2 linked regions of the Canis lupus familiaris genome follow. The protein of the gene in region 2 interacts with the protein of the main gene of each other region in a biochemical or structural test. Links are inferred from orthologs where the notes say so. Each region holds a gene or a part of one and is shown on either strand. Other genes may lie near its edges.

Region 1 (11,177 bases), on a different chromosome or scaffold from region 2:
GTTAGTTAACCGCAGAGTTGGGCCCAAGAGAAAACACCCCGTTTCCAATATGGTATAATCTCCTGAAGCAGTCACCTGTGCAGAGAGCTGTAGCGGGCCGAAGCCCAGTGCAAGGAACCCTAAGAAATTGGGCAAAGGGACACTCATGGATGAGAACTTACTAGAGCCACTGAGCTTGGAAAGTAACATTTGGACGTGCGTGACCCCATTTCACACTTCCATAGGGGTAATCCCATCTAAGAACAAAGATGTTGTTTTTAGAATCAAGCCGGATGTTTTCTGGTGGAGGCAGTTTATTTGCAACTAGAAGACAGAGAATACAGAGAAAAGCATACATTTTTACTTGAGTGAGAATACATGGTAAGGGTTCTTTTTTTTTCTTAAAAATTTATTTATTTGAGCACGAGAGAGATACATGGGAAGAATTCTTAACAGCATGGGCAAGAAAATAAAAGGCTTACACATGAGTTACGGTGTGGGTTTACACTATGGGATAGTATCACCCACTTAAAAAGAATGGGATAGGGGTGCCTGGGTGGCTCTGTCGGTTAAGTGTCTGCCTTCAGGTCAGGTCATGATCCCAGGGTAATGGGGTCAAGCCCCGCGTTGGGCTCCCTCCTTAGTGGGGAGTCTGCTTCTCCCTCTCCCTCTGCTGCTTCCTGTCCCCATCTCTGGCTTGTGCTCTTTCTCTCTTAACTAAATAAATAAAATCTTAAAATTAAAAAAAAAAGAACATGATAGATCGTATGTGCTGACATATGAAGAGATCCTCAATGTAATAAGTTAAATAAGCAAGTTGTAAGATATATCTAGCAAGATCCCATTTTTTTATTTTTAAAGATTTATTTATGAGAGACACTTAGAGAGAGGCAGAGACACAGGCAGAGGCAGAAGCAGGCTCCCTGAGGGGAGCCCGATGTGGGACTCGATCCCAGGACTCTGAGATCATGACCTGAGCAGAAATGCTTAACTGACTGAGCCACCCAGGCGCCCCTAGGCAGAACTTTCATTACTGTTCACTTGAGACAAAAATCCCAAATACGGTGATTTTTTTTTTTTTTGCTTATCTAAGTGCTATTGTAATGTTTTTGTTTCAATATCTATTAAAACCATCCTATAAACGTCAGCAACAAAGGGCAAAACCGCCAACATCAAGAGACTGCCCACCTGTATATATAGTTATGGAATCTACAGCAGAACTTCCTCCTTACCTGGGGTCTTTATACAGTACACAGGACTATAGATACCGTTTTTTCTCGGCAAAAGTCTTGCTTTAACTTTTAAACAGTAAGTGGTCTCTGGTGAGAGATTATAAATTTTATCTCTGGAGTAAACAGTTTCAGTCCTTCTCTAGAATAAAACAAATAGAATACTGCTCTTCAAAAAAAAGAAAAAGGTCAAAATGGAGAACAAATTCTTGTCTTTTTTCTCTCCCATTAAACAGAGGTACAAAGAATGCTTACTTCTCCACTTGAAGAGTTTTTCCAGATATCTAAGCTGTAGGTAAAGCTGGAGCTATCCAGAGCCCACATGACGCTGTCTCTCGCTCCAGGCAGGGAGATGTTTATTATGATTGTCTTATCTTCGGCTTCTAAATGTACTTTTGGGGGACCAATCTGAGCTGTAAAGAAATGAACACATTTATTTGATCACTTCATTAATAGAGGGTGGAAACATTCAGGGATCCGCTCCAGGGTACGCACTCTCAAAGTTGATCATTCAATGTGTTGACAGAACGGATGCAGGATTTTAAGGAAAAGGGATGCTAAAAGTGACTCCAAAGCTCTTGGCGCTATCAATGAAACAGGTGCCATCTGTAGTGGGGATGGAAAATTAGCTGCAAGAGGAGCAGGTTTGGAGTGGGAAATCAAGAGCTTTGTTTGACCTGATGACTCAGACGCCCAAGCAGAGATGGTGACTAGAGAGCTGGTGATACAAGTGTCACGGTTAAGGGAAAGGAGTGGGGCTGGAGATGTAAGTTTGAGCTTTTCTCAAGGGCACACAGATTGGAAGGACCGAGGGTAGAAAAAGAAGAAGTAGGACAATCCAGCCCTGCGGTAATCTGGCACCGAAAGGCCTGCAAGGCCTGGAGAAAGGGGCAAAGGAGGGAAGGATGAGCAGGAAAGGAGCTGACAGGGATCAGGGCCCTGGAGACCCAGAAACGGATGGGCTTCCAGTGATCACTGTGGCCCTACACAGGTTCTGAGCCAGAGGAGGGCTGGGAAGTCTCTCGGCATTGAGGAGGGCACCAGAGTCCTTGACAGGAGTGGTTTATTTTCCTTTTTTCATTTTTTTTCTTAAGATTTTAAAAAATATTTATTTATTCATGAGAGAGACAGAGAGAGGCAGAGACACAGGCAGAGGGAGAAGCAGGCTCCATGCGGGGAGACCAATAAGGGACTTGATCCCAGGACCCTGGGATCACGACCTGGGCCAAAGTCAGACGCTCAACCGCTGAGCCACCCAGGTGCCCCAACAGGAGTGGCTTCTGTATAGTGACAGGAAAGGAGGTCACATGCACAGGGCTGCAGAGGGAGTGGCAGGCCAAGAAGTGCCGAGAGGGACAGAGATCATCCTTCTCAGGGGTTGTGATAGAGGGCTGGGATTCCCAACTGTTTAACTCTCAGGACCCCTTCAAACTCAGAGAAACTGAGGGTCTGAAAGAGCTTTTGTTGGGGATCCCTGGGTGGCTCAGCGGTTTGGCGCTTGCCTTTGGCCCAGGGTGTGATCCTGGAGTCCCAGGATCGAATCCTACATCAGGCTTCCTGCATGGCGCCTGCTTCTCCTCTGCCTGTGTCTTGGCTCCTCTCTCTCTGTGTCTCTCATGAATAAATAAATAAAATCTTAAAAAAAAATGAAAGAGCTTTTGTTGATATGGATTATGTCTTTGAATATTTAGCACAGAAAATGTGAAAACTGCTAACATTTTAAAATATTAATTCGTTAACAGGTAATAATGATAAGCCCACTGTGCCGTAACAAGTATTTGTTATAAAAAATAACTCTATTTTCCCAAAACAAACATAGTGAGAATAGTGGTGCTGTGTCAAATCTAGTCCCATTACTGTCTTAACAAAGACGACAGATGTTATCTCACACCCACCTCTGGAAGTCACCCCACCAATCTCCCTATGATCCATCAGCCTCTGGAAAACTCCAGAATATTTTTTATATTCTTTTAAAAAACTCTATACTCATGGAAAAGGGGCAGAGAAGTCTTGGAATTATTATGAAAACAGTTTGGCTTTTTTTTTTTTTTTTAAGTGGGAGATTTCACATCACGCACATGAATGGGCTTGGGAAGTGAGCCCTTATGGTAACAGTAAACGAGGAATATTCTATAATTCAGCTGGCAACTTCCTCTTACCTTTTTCAAATAGGGTGAATGAGTCAATATTATGCCACGGAGAAGTGTTGTTTCCTTCCTCTGCTCTTATACGCAATTTAACTTTGTCGTAAACATTGAGCTTGAGTGAAGAAAAGTCGCACGTGGTGTTGGCAACAGACTGACACCCAGGCAATTTTAACCAAGTATCATTTCCAAGTCTTTAAGATAAAAAAGCAGATGAACAAATAAGCAAATGTATAAAAATACAAAAGACTGTCAGACACGGTTTCTGTTTACTAAAAACTGAAGCTATTATAAAACTAGGCTAAGTAGTTATTCTATGAGTTAATGTCCTGTTAACATTTGAGTTGCCATGTGGCACTCTTGTTCAGCACAGACATACCAAGCTTTTATTTATAACATGGAATAACTCTGATCATTTTTTTAAAAGATTTTATTTATTTATTCATGAGAGACACACAGGGAGAGAGGCAGAGACACAGGCAGAGGGAGAAGCAGGCTCCTTGCGGGGAGTGCGATGCAGGACTTGATCCCAGGACCTGGCATCACGCCCTGAGCCAAAGGCAGATGCTCAACCACTGAGCCACCCAGGTGCCCCAAGAGGGTTACTTTATTTTTTTATTTTTTTTAAATTTTTATTTATTTATGATAGTCACAGAGAGAGAGAGAGAGGCAGAGACATAGGCAGAGGGAGAAGCAGGCTCCACGCAGGGAGCCTGATGTAGGACTCAATCCCAGGTCTCCAGGATCATACCTTGGGCTGAAAGCAGGCGATAAACCGCTGAGCCACCCGGGCTGCCCTCAAAGTTCAATTTAAAGAAAATCTCTAGAGATAAAAATTCTTAAGTGGCTAATTAAGAGAAAAAACACGTATGTATGTATACAGGTGTATACACATGTGTACACACGTACATACACACACAAATGGCTAAAGCTGCGAGATTATTAACAATCGACTAGAAAACAGCAGTGCCAGGGTTGTGGTTGAAGTGGGGAGATCCTTGTTCTAGAGGTCCTACACCCTGTTTTTTCACTGCCCAATTACTGGCCGCTGTTTCTTGGACAGAGATCATGGTTAGCACACAGGGCCCTGACACCCAAAGCAAAGCACTGTACTTGCTGAGCTGTGTTCTTCTGTAATCCCTTCTTCTGCAACTCCCTGCTTGCCCAGCCTCTTGGCAGCTACAAAGTAGAAAGTGCTAGGGAGAAGGCATAAACTCTAGAAAAAGAGTCTGTGGAAAAAGAGGATCCAATATGCTCATGTTAATAAATTTTATCTAAAATTAAAATGTTGTATATGATGGGGAGAATTGAAAAATCCTGACCACCGGAGAACTGGGGGGCTATTTCAAGACCACGGATAGACCTTTTGGGGTCCTCTTCCATATCCTCAAGACATGTTCTAGTTCGGACCCTAATATATACTCAAAGAAGGTGGAGCATCTAGAAGAGAGAAGGTAGGGCTGTGGTCTACAGAAGCTGTCTGCCATCCTCATCCCCCAAATCTCTTTTGCTACAACACCCAAAGGTCAAGTGGATGAAGTCTCTATTTGTAGAAATGTAAGTTATAAATATTACATAGACATAAAGTTTCTGTAAAAGATAGAAAAACCAATTGTTTCCCAAATCTGAGAAATAAACGATGGTATGGTAATTTTTTAAAAATTTCAGGTGATTCTTGCAAATCAATCAATAGTCACATACGTTTGATAATATGCTGAAAAGGTCACATTCCTGATAGACGGGTTGCTCCTGTTCCACCTTAGGATAAAGGTATCATCAACGATGTAGACCTCTACATTTTGAGGAGATTTTAGAGTTGTTCCTCCTGGAAATAAAGAAACAAGACAGAAGACAATCACATGTACACTGTAAATATTCTTAAAAATGTTGTTCTTCCTTTCACATCATTGATTAAAGAATGAATACATTCATATATAATAAAGTACATGCAAAAATCTAAATAAAAAAAAAATACCCTAATGATTGCTCTCAGCACAGGGAGGCTGCTAATTATTTATGTAATCTTTGCTTTTGAGAGAGCTGGAAAAAGGCTGAGGTTTTTTTTTTTTTTTTAAATCTATAAAAAGTAAGCCTTCTATGTCCTAAGTATCTCAGTAAAGCTGGAAAAAATAAGGAAAGATAAATCAGCCTTATCTTTTAATTAAAAGTCTCTTTACCCAAGACATACAAAACGCTAATTCGAAGGAATACATGCACCCCTATGTTCATAGCAGCATTATTTACAACAGCCAAGTTATGGAAGCACCCCAAGTGTCCATCAACTGATGAAGGTTCAGCCATAGAAAAGAATTAAATCTGCCATTTGCGATGACATGGATGGAATTAGAGAGTATTATGCTAAGTGAAGTAAGTCTGTCAGAGAAAGACAAATACCATATGATCTCACTTATATGTGTAATTTAAGAAACAAAACAAATGAGCAAAGGTTAAAAAAAAAAAAAAAAAGAAAGGCAAACCACGAAATGGACTCAACTCTAGAGAACAAATTGACAGTCACCAGAGGGGAGGGGGCGGAAGGGAGGCGGGAAATGGGTGAAGGGGATTAAAGGCCATACTCATTGTGATGAAAAATAAAACACCTTCCACCTGCAGATAGATTACAACTCATCTGCAAGCTCAGATGACAGCTGGCATTTTTTAGCAATTAAAGTTAAAAACGAAAAAAGGAAGAAATTGTCTCTGCATAAAAATTTTCTTTGGTCTTAAAAGTGATGTAAAAGATACAAGGTTTCATGGTTTAGTGGCCTCAGTTTTGTTTCACATCTTATTATTCATGCTTTATGTATTCTGTTAAAGAACGGAACAGGTGAGATTTCAAAGTCAACAGCCATACACAGAAACAAATATTCACATGACAAAATCGAGAGAGAGAGATGAATGTTTCTTATGTCAGCCAAGCACTATAGGAACTCATAAAGGTGTTCATATTAAGCCCGAACCCTTCTGATTACTTTTAAGGACTTCCAGTCTCCAGTCCAGAGATCTATTATTTCTTATGCTTCGAGTACGAATCTTCCCAGAGTTTGACGTCCTCTCTTATTTTTCCCTTTTGGCCTCTTCCACCTGTGCTTTTCTTCCTCTCTGACTGACCAAATATTACCCAGATCCAGCTCACGTTGGACCCCTTACAGAAAACCATCATCAAGGACTTCAGCTCATGCTAACTTTGCTCTTTCCTTACATGCTGTAGCACACATCTATACCCCTCAATTTCACACTAAAGCACAGTACACGACACAGTACCTGACATCTACTAGGATCTCAAAACTTGCTGAATGAAGATGTTTCAAGAGAAAACCAGCAGTTTCTTTGCATTAAACACAATCTCCAATCAGATTACAAACTCCTTGAGGACAGAGTCTATACAGCTGCATACTTAATCTGCATTTTTCAGAGTTCTCAGCACAGTGCTGGGGTTAGAGGAGTTTCTTCATCACAAAAGGTTGATCTTTCACTATGACAAGCTACAATTTGTTTTTTAAGATTTTATCTATTTATTCATGACAGACACAGAGAGATGGAGACATAGGCAGAAGGTGAAGCAGGCTCCCTGCAGGGAGCCTGATGTGAAACTTGATCCCAGGACCCTGGGATCATACCCTGAGCTCAAGGCAGATGCTTAACCACTGAGCCATCCAGGTGCCCCAATAATCTAAACTTTTTAAAAGGCTGGCTTTTACATTTATTTATCTCTTGTTCCTACAATACATCCTTTATTTTTGTCTCAGGGCAAGCATGTTCCCTCCTTGTAGACTTTCAACCATAGGCGTCCTTATGTAGAACTTTTTTTTTTTTTTTTTAGATTTTATTCATTTATTCATGAGAGACACAGAGAAAGAGAGAGAGAGAGAGAGAGAGAGAGAGAGAGACAGGCAGAGGGAAAAGCAGGCTCCATGCAAGGAGCCCGACATGGGACTTGATCCCGGGTCTCCAGGATCACACCATGGGCCAAAGGCAGGCACCAAACCACTGAGCCACTCAGAGGTCCCTAGAAATTTCTTTATTGGTACTGCTCACTCTATTTTCCAGCTAGAGATGTTATGGTATGGAGTCCAAAGGGGGAGGAGCTGAGATAACATTTTCTGAAAACTTTATTTTTATCTTTTATTTATTATTTTTTTTGAAAACTTTATTTTTAATTTGGGGAGCTCCTCAGTGAGTCTCCCCTCCTTCAATTTTCTTCTTTACACTTACTTGCTTGGAGACTTTCCCTTATTCCACTTCTCTAAACTTAATTCCCATTCCATTTGTTGTGATTTTATAGTTTCAATGCAGCTACGGGTCTATAAACCCATAGCTGGGTTTATAGGAATCAACCAAAGGTGTGATGGCATTTGTCATCTCTGGTCTGGACTAGTCTAATTCCAGTAATTCTGGGCCTTGAGACAGGGAGAGGAAATCTGATGGTGGTAGAACCAGGAATTGCCTCTGGGATGCCGTCCTTCAGCTAAAGAAAGGAGACTGCAATTTGGGGCATCTTGGCATTTGGGAGACCAACAGATAACTGATAAATGACAAAGAAATAGTTATTAAACAGTGTTTTCGATTTCACAGATTTTGTTCTGTTCATATTACCAATATCTGTTTGAAAACAGTCTATTTCACTCTGTAGTGTCTAAGATCTATAAATGGGCACTTGATCCAATACTCCCACTTACACAACTGGTTGCTTCTAACCTTTCACATTCCTATGGATGATCAGAAACAATTTACTGTCTCTCTCTCTTTTTTTTTGTAAAGATTTTATTTATTGATGAGACACAGAGAGGCAAAGACATAGGCAGAGGGAAAAAAGCAGGCTCCCTGCAGGGAACCTGATGCCAGACTCGATTGTGGGGACCAGGATCATGACCTGAGCCAAAGGCAGACGCTCAACCGCTGAGTCACCCAGGCGTCCCGATTTACAGTCTTTTAAAGTCTGACATAAATCCAGACACATCCATCCAAATAAAAATTTCCTCCCGTATTTTGTTAATTTTCTTAGGCCAGGGTCCTAGAATTGCATTCACTAGGTTGAAAAGAATGAATATTTTTATGACTTTGAAAGGAAGCAACATTAGGATCTCCAGTTCTGGTCAACATTTCATTTGGTTTTGAACATTTTATTACTCCTTTGAGGAATAAAAACACATTAGTTAATTGAATGATAATGAGGAACTTAATAGTATTGATGGATAATTGAGAATTTAAATAGTTTAACCTTTAGGAAAACAGACAAGTCTTAAGCCCAGGGCACTGCTGCCAGATTCCCAGGGTTTAATTTCCGGTTTGGTCACTGGCTAGCTGTATGGCCCTAAGCAAGCTATTCAGTGTCTCCGTTCACCTGTAAAACGAGGATAACAGTGTGTAGCTTTTTACAGAAAACTAAATGAGTTTATACCTTTAAAGCATCTAGATAATTGCTTGGCACACAGTTAAGCTGTGTATAACTCTAATATAATGCTAGCTGTATATAAAGTTTATTTTAGCAGCCCTCCCCTAATTTAGATTAAAATAAGGATCTTAATGTACATCCTCCAGAAATGCTACTTTCACATGAGAATTCTCGGGGAAATTCTTTTTATTTTTTTGATTTTATGTATTTATTCATGAGACACACACACACAGAGAGGCAGAGACATAGGCAGAGGGAGAAGCAGGCTCCTTGCAGGAGCCCGATGTGGGTCTCGATCCCGGGACTCCCAGATCACGCTCTGAGCCAAAGGCGGATGCTCAACCGCTGAGCCACCCAGGTGTCCCAAAATTCGTTTTATATTACAGCACAATGAGCCGAATACAAAAATTTGAAGAACAAAAGACTTCAAAGAAATTACCATGGGTTATACCAGGACCACTGTACCCATCTACTATATATACTATATTTATTGAAGAGTTTGAGCAGTAGGATACTCTTGTACCACATCAGGGTTCGCTTTTCTAAGCAAACAGGGATTTTGAACATATTAGGTGGCCTCACTGACCCCTTGGATTCCTGCCCTGCGGTGGTGCTAGGCTTTCTTTCTTTCTTTCTTTCTTTCTTTTTTAAAGATTTTTTATTATTTATTTATTCAAGACAGACATAGAGAGAGAGAGGCAGAGACACAGGCAGAGGGAGAAGCAAGCTCCATGCACCGGGAGCCCGACGTGGGACTCGATCCCGGGTCTCCAGGATCGCGCCCTGGGCCAAAGGCAGGCGCTAAACCGCTGAGCCCCCCAGGGATCCCCTAGGCCCTTTTTCTCACTGGGTAACCCCTCCTCACTACACAGTCAACCTTTTAATAGTTGCCATCCCCACCCCCCAGCGGCTCCCTAGTTAAGTATTAATAAGGGCGGCAAACTGGCCTGATGGTCCCAGACTGTGTTTCTTGGCCGCGCATTTTCCTTTGTTACTTTGTATTAGACTCCACGAAGCCTTGAAGGCAGAGAAATTCCCGCAATCCCGGCCTCTCTCACGTGGGACTGAGTAACTGTCACATTGAGACAACGTTTCAGGCACAGCAACACTGTTTCGCGGCTAAAGCCTCGTTTATTATTTCAGGGTCCAGCCGAGCTCCCGGATTCCTGGGAGAGAAGCAAAGTGGACAGGACGGCCGGGGCTCGCCCGGCGCGGCGAGGGTGGAAGCGGGGTGGGGGGGGGGCGTCCGCCGCCGGGGACCGGTGCGCAGGCCCGCAAGCCAGCGGCGTGCAAGGATGCTCGAACACCATTACCGCCCGGCTTTCGGGCCGAGGTCTCCGGAAGGACCCCGGGAGGCCTCCGCGCGGTCTGCGCCAGTCCCTTCCCCGGACCCCACCGCCCAGCCCCTCGCCCCGCCCCGGGCCTGCGCCGAGGCCCCGCGTCTCTGACCTGCGGCTGCGGGCAGCATCCACGGCGCCCCCGCCACCAGCACCACGGTCGTCGCGCCCAGGAGGGTGAGCATCGTCCGGGGCCGCCCTGGCCGAGCGGGTCACATCCTCCGGCACCTCGCGCCGAATCCGGCGACGCCGGGCAGCTCACCCTCCGCAAAGGCCGCCCCGCCCCTTCCTTTCTCCCCTCCCCTCTCCCCCTCCCGCGCTCGCCCCGCCCACCGCCTCTCACCCCGCCTGCGGGCAGCACCCGGGGCGTCGCGCCCAGGAGGGGGAGCATCGTCCGGGGCCGCCGCTGGCCGAGCGAGCCCCATCCTCGGTCCCGTCCCGCGGAACCGGGCGGCGCGAGCTCATCCTCGCGCAAAGGCCGCCCCTCGCCCGCGGCCGCGTCTCCCACCCTTCCTTCCTCCCTCCCTCCCCGCCCCTCCGCGCTCACCCCGCCCTACGAGTCCTCCGCGGGGAGGTGGGGGGAGGCGGCGGACCGCGCGTGCGCGGCGGGGACCGGGTGGCGCCTCGCCCCGTCCTTACCGCCAGTCGCCGCCCACGGCCGCCCGCCCCCTTCCAGCAAGGCCACGCCCAGCGGAACGCCTTGACCCGGCGGGAGCCGGGCGCGCGCTGCCCGGCCTCGCTCCCCCGCGCGGTCGCGGACACGGAGGGGCGGCGGTGAGGAAGCCGCGAGCCGCCAGGCGGATTCCTGGGTGCAGAGCGCCGTGAGCAACGGCCAGAGCGGCCGGGGCCCTGGCTGCCGGGGCGACCTGCCCGAGGTGCGCACGGGACCGGTGGAGAGTCTCGACGGTCTCCAGAGCTCAAGCAGTTAGGGTCCCTTGCCCGTGTCAGTAAACAGTTGGGGTCCACCCTCCAGATCGTTCTTTAAATGCCCGAATCATAGATTATGGATGGTATTGAAATACGCAAAAAGAAAGGATGAGATGAAACAAGCAATCGTGCTTAGCTGTTAATTACAACTAAACAATATTAATTA
Region 2 (11,177 bases):
CTAAATGCAAAATATTTAGTCCAGTACCTGCCACATAATAAACTTTCTTAAATATGGCTGTTATCACCTAATTGGATGGGTTCTCAGAAGAATTCAATAAAATAAAAAGAAATCTGTTTCTAAAAAAAAAAAAAAATCTAGTACTATGCTTCAAGTAGATGCCCATTAACGTCAGTGATTATGACTCTGATTAGCAGGGAAGCCCTGTGGAAACAACCTAAGGATAGCAGCAGAGCACTAGGGAACAAAGAGGCTAGCAGAACGAGGGAAAAAACCTAGAGGTTGGAGACTATGGGCCCGTAGGAAAGAAGGCCAGAGAGGCAAACTGAGCGGGTTTGGGTCGCCACATCAGCCAGCAAAGGCCAGGGAGGATGGGCAAGAAATGCATCTCTCACCTGTTAGAGACCACAATGAGCCTATGTTTCAGGTATTTCCTCCGTTCTTCGAGATTAACTGTGGGGGACATATGCAGGAGGACAGGGAGGTCAGTGGACTGGACACCTGGCCCAAGGACCCCTCGTGTAAACGGTCTTGATAATTGTATTTCCCTACTAACTAGCCATGTCCCAGGGACAAATCCTTTCGTTTCTCTGGCTACCAATTTTTCCATGTCTGGAAGAAAGGAGCTGGATCTGTAGATGCCTGAGTCCCTGCAATCTTCAGTGACATACATCAACGATCCTTACCTTTCTCCTGGTAGTAGCACCCAAAAGCCTCATCCCGGGGGATTCGGGGGTAGAGGAAGCACAGTGGGTTCTCAGGTATGTTCTCTTCGGTAAGCAGCTGGTAGTGGCGAATGATTTTGGTCAGTGGGAGAGACTGAAGCACTTCCTTGGTGAAGGGTTGCAGAGAGTTGATGAGCACCTTATCTGCAGAATGGATGTGGGAAGAGGCAGGCCTGAAACAGTCGGGTCTAGGAGTCCCCCACCCTGGCCATCTAAGCCCCAACCTGCTGAGGGATTCAAGACAGAACCAGGGAAGCCAAGGGCTGGCAGAGGGACATAAAGGACAGGCTGTGGGAACATCGGGGCGAAGCAGCTGACCATCATCCTGATGTTCCACCCAGGAGCAGGTGATGCCCCCTTCTGATGTTTCACTGAAGCGCAGGAGAAAGGTGCCAGAGATGGTCTTCTTCAGCAGCCTGCGTTCCTTGCTCCGGCTCACAAAGCCCATGATGCGTCTGAAACAGAAAGCTGCTGTGAGGCCCTCATGCCTCCCTGCTGTCCTGCTGTCCTGCTCTCCTTGTACAGGGAGACAGCGCCAGGGTTTGGCCCTTGCTCTTGGCCAAGTCACTTCCTCTTACTGACGGTATCCACCTTCTAGGGCTGGAAGAGGTTTGAGGATTCAGTGTGGTCACAGATGAAAAAGCACCTTGGAAAGGCAAATGAGCAGGTAGTGTGATGGGAAGAGCACAGGCCTGCAGTCAGATGAGGCCTGGGTTTGAGTCCCAAGCAGGCCCATTGAGTGAATTCTTTTTTTTTTTTTTTCATTGAGTGAATTCTTTTTTTTTTTTTTTTGAGTGAATTCTTTAACTTCTCTTTGACTCCACACGGTTGTAAGGATTACACGAGAGAGTTCATAAGGAGCATCCAGCAGGTTCTGGAGCACAACAGATGCTAGGACTATTATCATGAGCGAAAACGTCAGGCGCGTGACCTTGCACCAGCATTTGCTTGCTCTCTCCCTTTCTGCCACATGAGGGCGCACAGAGTCCACTCGAGCCCAGAAAGGCAGAAAGCTAGGGGTGGGGCGAGGGAGACTGACCAAGGCCTTACCCATCATTCCAGAGATCCTTCAAGTGGTCATGTACCAGCTCCAGAATTTTGTCTAACCACGTCCAGAATGGTAGCTTGCCAGGAGGGCTCTCTCGCTGCAGGAGGAATGAAAAGGCAGGAAGAGACATGATTAGTCGCCCCCAGTGAGCAGATGGCAGTAAGGAGGGCAAGGACTAGTGTTTGCACAGGGGCTAGACGTAGTCACACAGGATGCAGGGAGTTACCTTAGTGAAGTCGGCCCACGATAACAATGCGCCCTCAGTCCTAGAGTTCTGACCTGTGGACAGACAGACAGTTCAGGTAATCGATGCAGGCAAGGCCAGGGTCCTTGGAATAGAAAGGGTGGAGGGCTGGGGAGACTACGGCTGGGGAAAGGCTGGGAGAAAAGGAGGTTTGTACCAAAGAGCTTGTTCCTCAGCATGCTCAGCTGGTCTGGGTCAAGGCCTCGGCCAACATAGGAGGAGAACTGCCAGCTGAGAGCAGGGCCCAGCAAGCTCCAGGGTGCCATGGGAGGGCTGGAGAAGAACTGCTGATTCTGCAAGAGTGGGAAGAGGGCAGGATGGCTCAGAAGGAGCACCCTCAGGCCAAGCGTCCACACCCTTCCTTGCCACCCAGCACCATTAGCACCATCTCCTACCTGGGGGTTTGAGCTAAGCAGATTGAACCAAAGAACCGAGGCCCAGGCAATGGAAACTTGGTTCATATTGGAAATAATCACCACAGGGAGGGTGTCTGTCTGAAGAGAAAACAAGAGTCAGAGAGAGGGATGGGATGTTTCTAGCTTTGACAGAGGCAAAGGAGAACTTCCCACTGGAGAGGCTTCCTTTAACGCCTCCTGAATGCCTTCCGCCAGATCTGCTTCATCTCTCCCTGCCCTCCATTTCCACTCACCTTCAGCTCCTCCTTCAGACCCTGGTAGGTGTATTTGACTGTAATGCTGATAATGTGCAGTTCCTCCGTCACACCCAGCATGCCCTAGGACAGCCGAAGACACAGCGGTCAGCGGGCCCTGTGGCAAGCTCCTCCCATCCCCCCGCTGCTCTGGCCAGGCCTCACCTTATTGCAGCCCTTTCCTGGGCCACCTGAACGTTGTTCTACCAGAGTCTGTGAGTTGACAGGAAATAAAATAAATGCCAGAGTGAGGACTCCAGGGTCCCTGGAACCCCTATTTCGCCTCAAGACTTCCCAAGGCCTGGGAACTTCCCTCAGCCCGTTGCACCGGACCAGAACCTTAGGCTGCTAGCCCTTCTTACCAGGTAACCGAAGTCCCAAATTAAGCCCTGACTCTGCCCCTTCTCGGGGGTCAGGGTTTTCTGGTTTGAGGTTAGAATGTTGAACTTCCGGAAGCTATTCCAGGAGGAAGAAGATATATGGAGAAGAGGAGAAGAGTTATTCTAAATACTCAGCAGGAAAACAACAAAAATCCTACTTCATTCCAGACCTCCCCTCCTCCCTTTGTCCAACCCCCAACCAAGTCAACCTCCTTCTTGTCTGAGCCCCAATGTGGTTATTATGCAGGTTGTGCAGTGCACCCAAGTCGGCAGCATCCTTATCAGACACCTACCCTTGTGATTGAGGATTCCTGAAAAAAAAAAAAAAAAAAAAAAATTCACTGAGAACCAAAACAGTGCAGAAGTTAGGAGTTTAGTCTTTAGAATCAGACAGACCTGGATTCAAACCCAAATCTGTGCTCACGAGTCTTATGGCCTTGCACAAGAGACACAATCTCTCTGGGCTTGTCTCTCCATCTGAACTGTGCACTGCTAATACCTAACTCACAGGGTTCCTGGGACAAATGAGGACTGGACAAGCCGCATGTCACATAGTGCTCAACAAGAGCGAGGAGGCGGGGTAGGAACACAGCCCCAGGGCCCTCGGGTGAAGAGTGGGTCTCCTCTGCCCCAGCAGCCCATGTCCCTGCCACCCTGTGGCCCCACGTGCCCCAACTTACTTGTCAATGGAAACTTCTGCAGTCAGTGACTCGTTGCCTTCCTGGAGTCTCACCAGGAGCCTAAGTGGAAGAGGGGAAAGTGGTCACCTTCAATCTCCTGGAGAGATCAAATGTTGGGAAAAGATAAGGTAAGAGATTAGAAGAGGTAGATGGGAAAAAGAAAAAGAAAGAGACGAGGTAGGTGGATTAAAGAGAAAAGGGAGAAGACAAGAGTGGAAAGATCTAAAGCCAGAAAGCAAACAGTAGTATGAGGGCTGGAAAAAGGAAGCAGGAATGAGTCCTGAAATGCCAACCTTGTTCGGATAGTGAACTTGCTCCCAGTCTTGAGGATGAGGGGTCGGTGGGGAGTTTGGGGCATGCAGGGCTGGGTTTCTACCACGAAGGCTCTGGGGAGAGAGGTGGCCGAGAGAATACAGAGTTCAGTCTCTGCAGGAATAGCTCCTCTTGCTCTTTCCTTCTGCCCTCCCTGGAGGTCCCTCCCCGGCCTCTAGACCTGTGGAGCAGGCGCTGTAGCAACTCCAGGACCTGGGCCTTCCGCAGGTTGACCCCTGCGGTCAGAGGGTCATCCTGATAGCTAACCAGGTGACTTAATCCCTTCAGCTCCTCCAACAGCTGGCGCAGGTGGAACAACAGCTTGGCTCCAGCTGTGAACCTAGGTGATAGGATTCCAGAGACAGAGAGCAAACTGATGAGTTTCCTGGTCTTCCCCAGACAGGCTCCAGAAGCTTCCCTTTTACTATGTGGAGAGGCAGAAAGTGATTGGGATAAAAAAAGAACCCAGGAAGCTTAGGAAAGATTATGCAACATGATTCATAATCCAAGAAATAAAAATCAAAGGCACTTCCACATATAAAACTGGTAAAAGGGACGCCTGGGTAGCTCAGTGGTTAAGCATCAGCCTTTAGCCCAGGGCGTGATCCCAGAGTCCAAGGTCGAGTCCTGCATCGGGCTCCTTGCATGGAGCCTGCTTCTTCATCTGCCTATGTCTCTGCCTCTCTGTGTCTCTCATGAATAAATAAAATCAAATCTTAAAAAAAAAATGGTGAAAGATTTATTTCTGTAATGAAGCTACTTTTCATATGACCCTTCAGGGCAGCTTGGTGTGGCTCAGTGGTTTAGCACCACCTTCAGCCCAGGGTGTGATCCTGGGGTCCTGGAATCAAGTCCCACGTCGGGCTCCCTGCATGGAGCCTGCTTCTCCCTCTGCCTGGGTCTCTGCCTCTTTCTGTGTGTGTCTCATGAATAAATAAATAAAATCTTTAAAAAAAATCATATGACCCTTCATATGTACTATTATTCTAAGTGCTTACTGTATTTAATCCTTATAACAACCCTATGAGACAGCTATTATTATTATCCTCATTTTACAGATAATTAAACTCTAGAGAAAGGTTAAGTGACTTGCTTGAGGTCACAGAACTAGTATGGAGTAAGCTGTATGTGATCCGGGCATTCTGGCTGCACAGTCCATACTTTTTTAAGTAGGCTCCACACCCAGCATGGGGCTCAAACTCATGACCCCCAGATCAGGACTCACATGCCCTACTGAGTGAGCCAGCCATAAAATTTTTAATTGATTTTATTTTTTTATTTCTGGGACACCTGGGTGGCTCAGCAATTGGGCATCTGCCTTTGGCTCAGGGTGTGATCCTAAGGTCCCGGGATCGAGTCCCGCATATGGCTCCCTGCATGGAGCCTGCTTCTCCCTCTGCCTGTGTCTCTGCCTCTCTCTCTCTCTGTCTCTCATGAACAGATAAATAAAATATGTAAAAAAATCAACAAATAAAATTTTATTTCAATTGAATTAACATATAATGCTATAATACACATGCAAGCTCAGGCACTTGGGTGGTTCAGTGGTTGAGCATCTGCCTTTGGCTCAGGTCGTGATCCCAGGGTCCTGGGATCGAGTCCCACATTGGGCTCCCCATGGGGAGCCTGTTTTTCCTTCTGCCTATGTCTCTGCCTCTTTCTCCATGTCTCTCATGAATAAATTAAAAAAATCTTTGAATAAAAATGAGTTGCAAGCTCCACAAACTGAGCCAGTCAGGTGACCCAGGCTCAAATTTTTAAAAAAATTTTTATTTATTTATGATAGTCACAGAGAGAGAGAGAGAGAGAGGCAGAGACACAGGCAGAGGGAGAAGCAGGCTCCATGCACTGGGAGCCCGATGTGGGATTCGATCCCGGGTCTCCAGGATCGCACCCTGGGCCAAAGGCAGGCGCCAAACCGCTGCACCACCCAGGGATCCCTTTTTTTTTTTTTTTTAAGATTTTATTTATTTATTCATAGAGATGCAGAGAGAGAGAGAGGCAGAGACACAGGCAGAGGGAGAAGCAGGCTCCATGCAGAGACCCTGACGTGGGACTCTATCCAGGGTCTCCAGGATCACGCCCTGGGCTGCAGGCGGCGCTAAACCGCTGCGCCACTGGGGCTGCCCCCAGGCTCAAATTTTTAACATGGGAAAATATCTAAAAATATTAAATTTTTTAAAACCACAAGATAAAAAAATAAAATAAAAACTAAAAACCACAAGATAGTACATTTATGATATGACCTGCCCTCGTTTATTTTTTTTTTCAAAGATTTTATTTATTTATTCATGAGAGACAAAGAGAGAGAGGCAGAGACAGAGGGAGAAGCAGGCTCCATGCAGGAAGCCAGACATGGGACTCGATCCTGGGTATCCAGGATCATGCCTTGGACTGAAGGTGGTGCTAAACCGCTGAGCCACCAGGGCTGCCCTGCCCTCTTTTAAAATAAATGTATATTTGGGGGATCCCTGGGTGGCTCAGCGGTTTGGCGCCTGCCTTTGGCCCAGGGCGTGATCCTGGAGTCCCGGGAGAGAGTCCCACATCTGGCTCCCGGCATGGAGCCTGCTTCTCCCTCCTCCTGTGTCTCTGCCTCTCTCTCTCTCTCTGTCTATCATAAATAAATAAATAAATCTTTAAAAAAAATTAAAAAATAAAAAATAAATAAATGTATATTTGGGGCACCCAACTGGCTCAGTCACTGGAACATGTGACTCTTGATCTTGGGGTTGTAAATTCAAACCTCATGTTAGATGTAGAGATTACTTAAATATAAAACCTTTGGTAGGTGGGCGCCTGGGTGGCTCAGCCAGTTGAGCCTTTGGCTTGGGTCATGATTTCCTGGGATTGAGCCCTGCATCGGGCTCCCTGCTTAGCGGGGAGGCTGCTTCTCCCTCTCCCTTTGCTGTTCCCCCTGCTTGTGCTTGCTTTCTCTTTCTCCTTGTCAAAAAGATAAATCTTAAACAAATTTAAAACCTTTAAAATAGATGGATTGTATATTTATGTATATACATAGGGAAAATTTGCAAAAAATGTATTCAAAAGCCCTAACACTGAGTACCGCTGCATGATCAGGTTATGCAGATAGGCAGTTTTTACTTTCTTTTAAGTTGTCTGAATTTTTTTTTCCAATTGAGACACATTATATTTATAATAAAAAAAATCAATAAAGCTCTTTCTTTTTCTTTTTTTGAGATTTTATTTATTTGAGAGAGAGAGAGAGAGAAACATGAGCAGGGAGAGGGGCAGAGAGAAGCAGACTCTCCACTAGGCAGGGAGCCTGATGCAGGGCTTGATCCCAGGACCCTGGGATCATGACCCAAGCTGAAGGCAGACACAACTGACTGAGTCATTCAAGCGCCACCCCCCCCTCGCTTTTTAAGAATTTCTTTATTTAGGGTAGCCCCAGTGGTGCAGTGGTTTAGCGCTGCCTGCAGCCCAGGGCGTGATCCTGGAGACCCTGGATAGAGTCCCACGTCAGGGTCTCTGCATGGAGCCTGCTTCTCCCTCTGCCTGTGTCTCTGCCTCTCTCTCTCTGTCTCGATGAGTAAATAAATAAAATCTTTAAAAAAAGAAAAGAATTTCTTTATTTATTCATAAGAGACAGAGGGAGAGGCACAGACATAGGCAGAGAGAGAAGCAGGCTCCATGTAGGGAGCCCGATGTGGGATTAGATCCCAGGACCTTGGGATCATGCCCTGAGCCTAAGGCAGACGCTCAATCACTGAGCCACCCAGGAGCCCACCCCTTCCCCCTTTTTAAGAGATTTTATTTATTTATTCATGAGAGACACAGAGAGAGAGAGACAGAAACATAGGCAGAGGGAGAAGCAGGCTCGATGCAGGAGGCCTGACGTGGGACTCGATCCCAGAACTCTGGGATCACACCCTGAGCTAAAGGCAGATGCTCAACCACTGAGCCACCCAGGTGTCCCCCACCCCTGCACCTTTTTAAAATATGTTATCTATTTTATTTATTTGAGAGAGAAAGAGAGTGAGGGAGAGTGGAAGCACAGAGGAGCAGAAGGGGAGGGAGAGGGAGGGGGAAAGAATCTCAAGCAGACTCTGTGTTGAGGGGGAGCTCCACATGGGGCTCAATCCCACAACCCCAAGACTATGATCTGCCTGAACAAAGAGTTGGATGCTTAACCGACTGACTTAGGCTCTGGTCATGATCTCAGGGTCCTGGGATCAAGGCCCACATTGGGCTCCACACTCAGTGGGGAGTCTGCTTCTTGCCCTCTCCCTCTGCCCCTCCCCCTTACCCATACTGTCTCTTAAATAAATAAAATATTAAAAAATAAATAAATAAAATATTTAAAAACAAAACAAAGGATCAACATAACACCACCAAAAAGGAAAGCTATATACTTTAACCCAGGAATACCACTTCTAGGAATTTATATTACAGAAATAATTAGGGATGTAAATAAAGATGTAGTTATGAGGATTTTTACTCCAACAGTATAAAATAGCAAGAAATCCGGGTGCTCAGCTGGCTTAGTGGGAAGAGCACATAACTCTTGATCTCAGGGTTGTGAGTTTGAGCCCCCCATTGGGTGCAGAGATGGTTTAAGTAAGTTAAATAAACTTAAAAAAAGAATCCTTTCCCATCTTGCAAGATGGTGGGTGAAAAGATAAGAAGCCGATACTAAGGAGAAGAAACCTGGAGCCAAGAAGGCTGATGCTTGTGGCAAGATTAAAAATGGTGACCTCAAGGTTAAAATGCCAAAGAAGGGGACGCCCCATTGCAGCCAAAAGTGTCCTAGTCAGAGGAAACTGGCACATATTTCCCATTGGCTATGTATTCCAGAAAAGCCATGTACAACAGGAAGCATTCAGTAGCTAAATCCAGAGTTGAAAAGAAAAAGGAGAAGGTTCTTGCTACGGTCACAAAACCAGTTGGTGGTAACAAGAATGGCGGTACCTGAATGATTAAACTTCACAAAATGCCTAGGTATTATCCTGTCGCTGTGCCTCAAAAGCTCTTGAGCCAGAGCAAAAAAAACCCCATTCAGTCAGCATGGAGAATTCTGAAAGCTAGCATCACTCCTGGCACCATTATTTTTAAAAAGATTTTATTTATTTATTTGAGAGAGAGAGAAAAAAAAAAGAGAGAACATGAGCTGGGGGAGGGGCAGAGAGAGTGAGGAAGAAGGAGACACAGACTCTCCATTGAGCAGGGAACCCCATGGAGGGTTTGATCCCGGGGCCCAGAGATGATGATCTGAACTGAAGGCAGATGCTTAACCCACTGAGCCACCAAGGTCCCCTCCTGGCACCATTCTGATCATCCTCACTGGGCTCCACAGAGGCAAGAAGGTGGTTTTCCTGAAGCATTTGAGCAGTGGGGGTTGCTACCTGTGACTGGACCTCGGGCCCTCAATCGAATTCCTCTACATAGAACACACCAGAAATTTGTTATTGCCACCTCCACCAAAATTGGTATCAGCAGTGTGAAAATTCCCAAACATTTCACTGATGCTTACTTCCAAAAGAAGCTGCATAAACCCAGATACCAGGAAGGAGAGATCTTCGACAGCAAGAAAGGAAATGTGAGACTACAGCACAGCACTAGGTTGATCAGCATGCTGTGGATTCGAAAATTCTGTCAAAAATCAAACCTGTTCCTCACCTTTAGGGCTACCTCCACTCTGTGTTTTCTTCCCACAAATGGAGTTTGCCCTCACAAATCAGTGTTCTACATTTCTTACAAAGAACCTAATACTGACCCATTTCCACAAAAACAACAACTTGGGGGGAAAAAACCAAAATATTTGTTGAATATATACAATGGAATATTATTCATAATAAAAAATAAAGTCTTGGGACACCTGGGTGGCTCAGTGGTTAAGCGTCTGCCTTCAGCTTAGGGCATGATCCTGGAGTCCAGAGATCGAGTCCTGCATCGGGCTCCCTGCATGGAGCCTGCTTCTCCCTCTGCCTGTGTCTCTGCCTCTCTCTCTCTCTGTCTGTCTCTCATGAATAAATAAATAAAATCTCTAAAAAAAGGTAAAAAAAAAAAAAAAAAGAATAAAGTCTTGCCATTTGCAATGATGTGAATAGAGCTAAGAAAGAATTATGCTAAGTGAAATAAGTCAGAGAAAGACAAATACCGTAAGATTTCACTCATACGTGGAATTTAACAAAACAGGTAATAATTATTTATTTTATTTTTATTTTTTTAAAATTTTTATTTATTTATGATAGTCACAGAGAGAGAGAGAGAGGCGCAGAGACACAGGCAGAGGGAGAAGCAGGCTCCATGCACCAGGAGCCCGACGTGGGATTCGATCCTGGGTCTCCAGGATCGCGCCCTGGGCCGAAGGCAGGCGCCAAACCGCTGCGCCACCCAGGGATCCCCGGTAATAATTATTTAAATTAAAAGACAACTCAAATGTCCAAAATAGGAGTTCATTAATTAAATTATGTTACCTCTATATAGGGAACTATAAGGCAATCATCAAAAATAACATGGGTGGGTGCCTGGGTGGCTCAGTCAGTTAAGTGTATGCCTTTGGCTTGGGTCATGGTCCTGGGGTCCTAGGATCGAGTCCAGCATCTGGCTCTCTGCTCAGTGGGGAGTCTGCTTCTCTTTCTCCCTCTGTCCCTCCCTACTGTTCGTGCTGTCTCTCTCTCAAATAAATAAAATCTTAAAAAAAAAAATAATAGTAATAACATGGGCATGAGGTGCCTAGGTAGCTCAGTCAGTTAAGCGTCTGACCCTTGCTCTCAGCTCAGGTATTGATCTCAGGGTTGTAAGTTCAGGCCTCCTGTTGGGTTCTATGCTGGCAAGGAGTCTACTTAAAGAAACAAAACTAAAAACATGGGTAGGGGTGCCTGGCTAGCTCATTTGGTACAGCATGCAACTCAATTCTTGGGGTGGTAAGCTCGAGCCCCCAGCTGGGTGTAGAGTACTTAATAAATAAAAATAAATTAAAAAAGAAACATCAGCCTGTCTCATTTAAAAAAATAAATAACATGGGTAAGTACCACAATATACAGCTAAGTTAAAAAACAAAAACCACAGTTCTCAAAATAGTTCTTAATTTTTGTATATTATAGTAGCTACACATGGACAGTAAGATAAGAGGTAATTGTCTTTTTTTTTTTTTTTACATTATAGTGATTACAATTAAA

What was found.
Region 1: the proteins of STAT2 (region 2) and IFNAR1 form a complex in vitro, tested with the Homo sapiens proteins (2 studies listed by BioGRID). The link is inferred for Canis lupus familiaris from reciprocal best matches to the Homo sapiens genes STAT2 and IFNAR1.

What each region holds. Positions count from the first base shown.
Region 1 is NC_049252.1:28,540,378-28,551,554, reverse strand, and holds the start of IFNAR1 (interferon alpha/beta receptor 1), read right to left. Parts: upstream 10,569-11,177; 5' UTR 10,510-10,568; coding exon 10,428-10,509; intron 10,360-10,427; exon of another isoform or gene 10,270-10,359; coding exon of another isoform or gene 10,197-10,269; intron 9,843-10,196; exon of another isoform or gene 9,695-9,842; intron 5,178-9,694; coding exon 5,054-5,177; intron 3,547-5,053; coding exon 3,368-3,546; intron 1,622-3,367; coding exon 1,464-1,621; intron 1,351-1,463; coding exon 1,212-1,350; intron 304-1,211; coding exon 162-303; intron 1-161. UniProt on the Homo sapiens protein: Together with IFNAR2, forms the heterodimeric receptor for type I interferons (including interferons alpha, beta, epsilon, omega and kappa).
Region 2 is NC_049231.1:997,087-1,008,263, forward strand, and holds part of STAT2 (signal transducer and activator of transcription 2), read right to left. Parts: intron 4,379-11,177; coding exon 4,220-4,378; intron 4,113-4,219; coding exon 4,020-4,112; intron 3,787-4,019; coding exon 3,727-3,786; intron 3,358-3,726; coding exon 3,340-3,357; intron 3,123-3,339; coding exon 3,029-3,122; intron 2,880-3,028; coding exon 2,832-2,879; intron 2,751-2,831; coding exon 2,667-2,750; intron 2,512-2,666; coding exon 2,413-2,511; intron 2,311-2,412; coding exon 2,175-2,310; intron 2,053-2,174; coding exon 2,000-2,052; intron 1,871-1,999; coding exon 1,776-1,870; intron 1,181-1,775; coding exon 1,044-1,180; intron 870-1,043; coding exon 687-869; intron 454-686; coding exon 396-453; intron 1-395. UniProt on the Homo sapiens protein: Signal transducer and activator of transcription that mediates signaling by type I interferons (IFN-alpha and IFN-beta).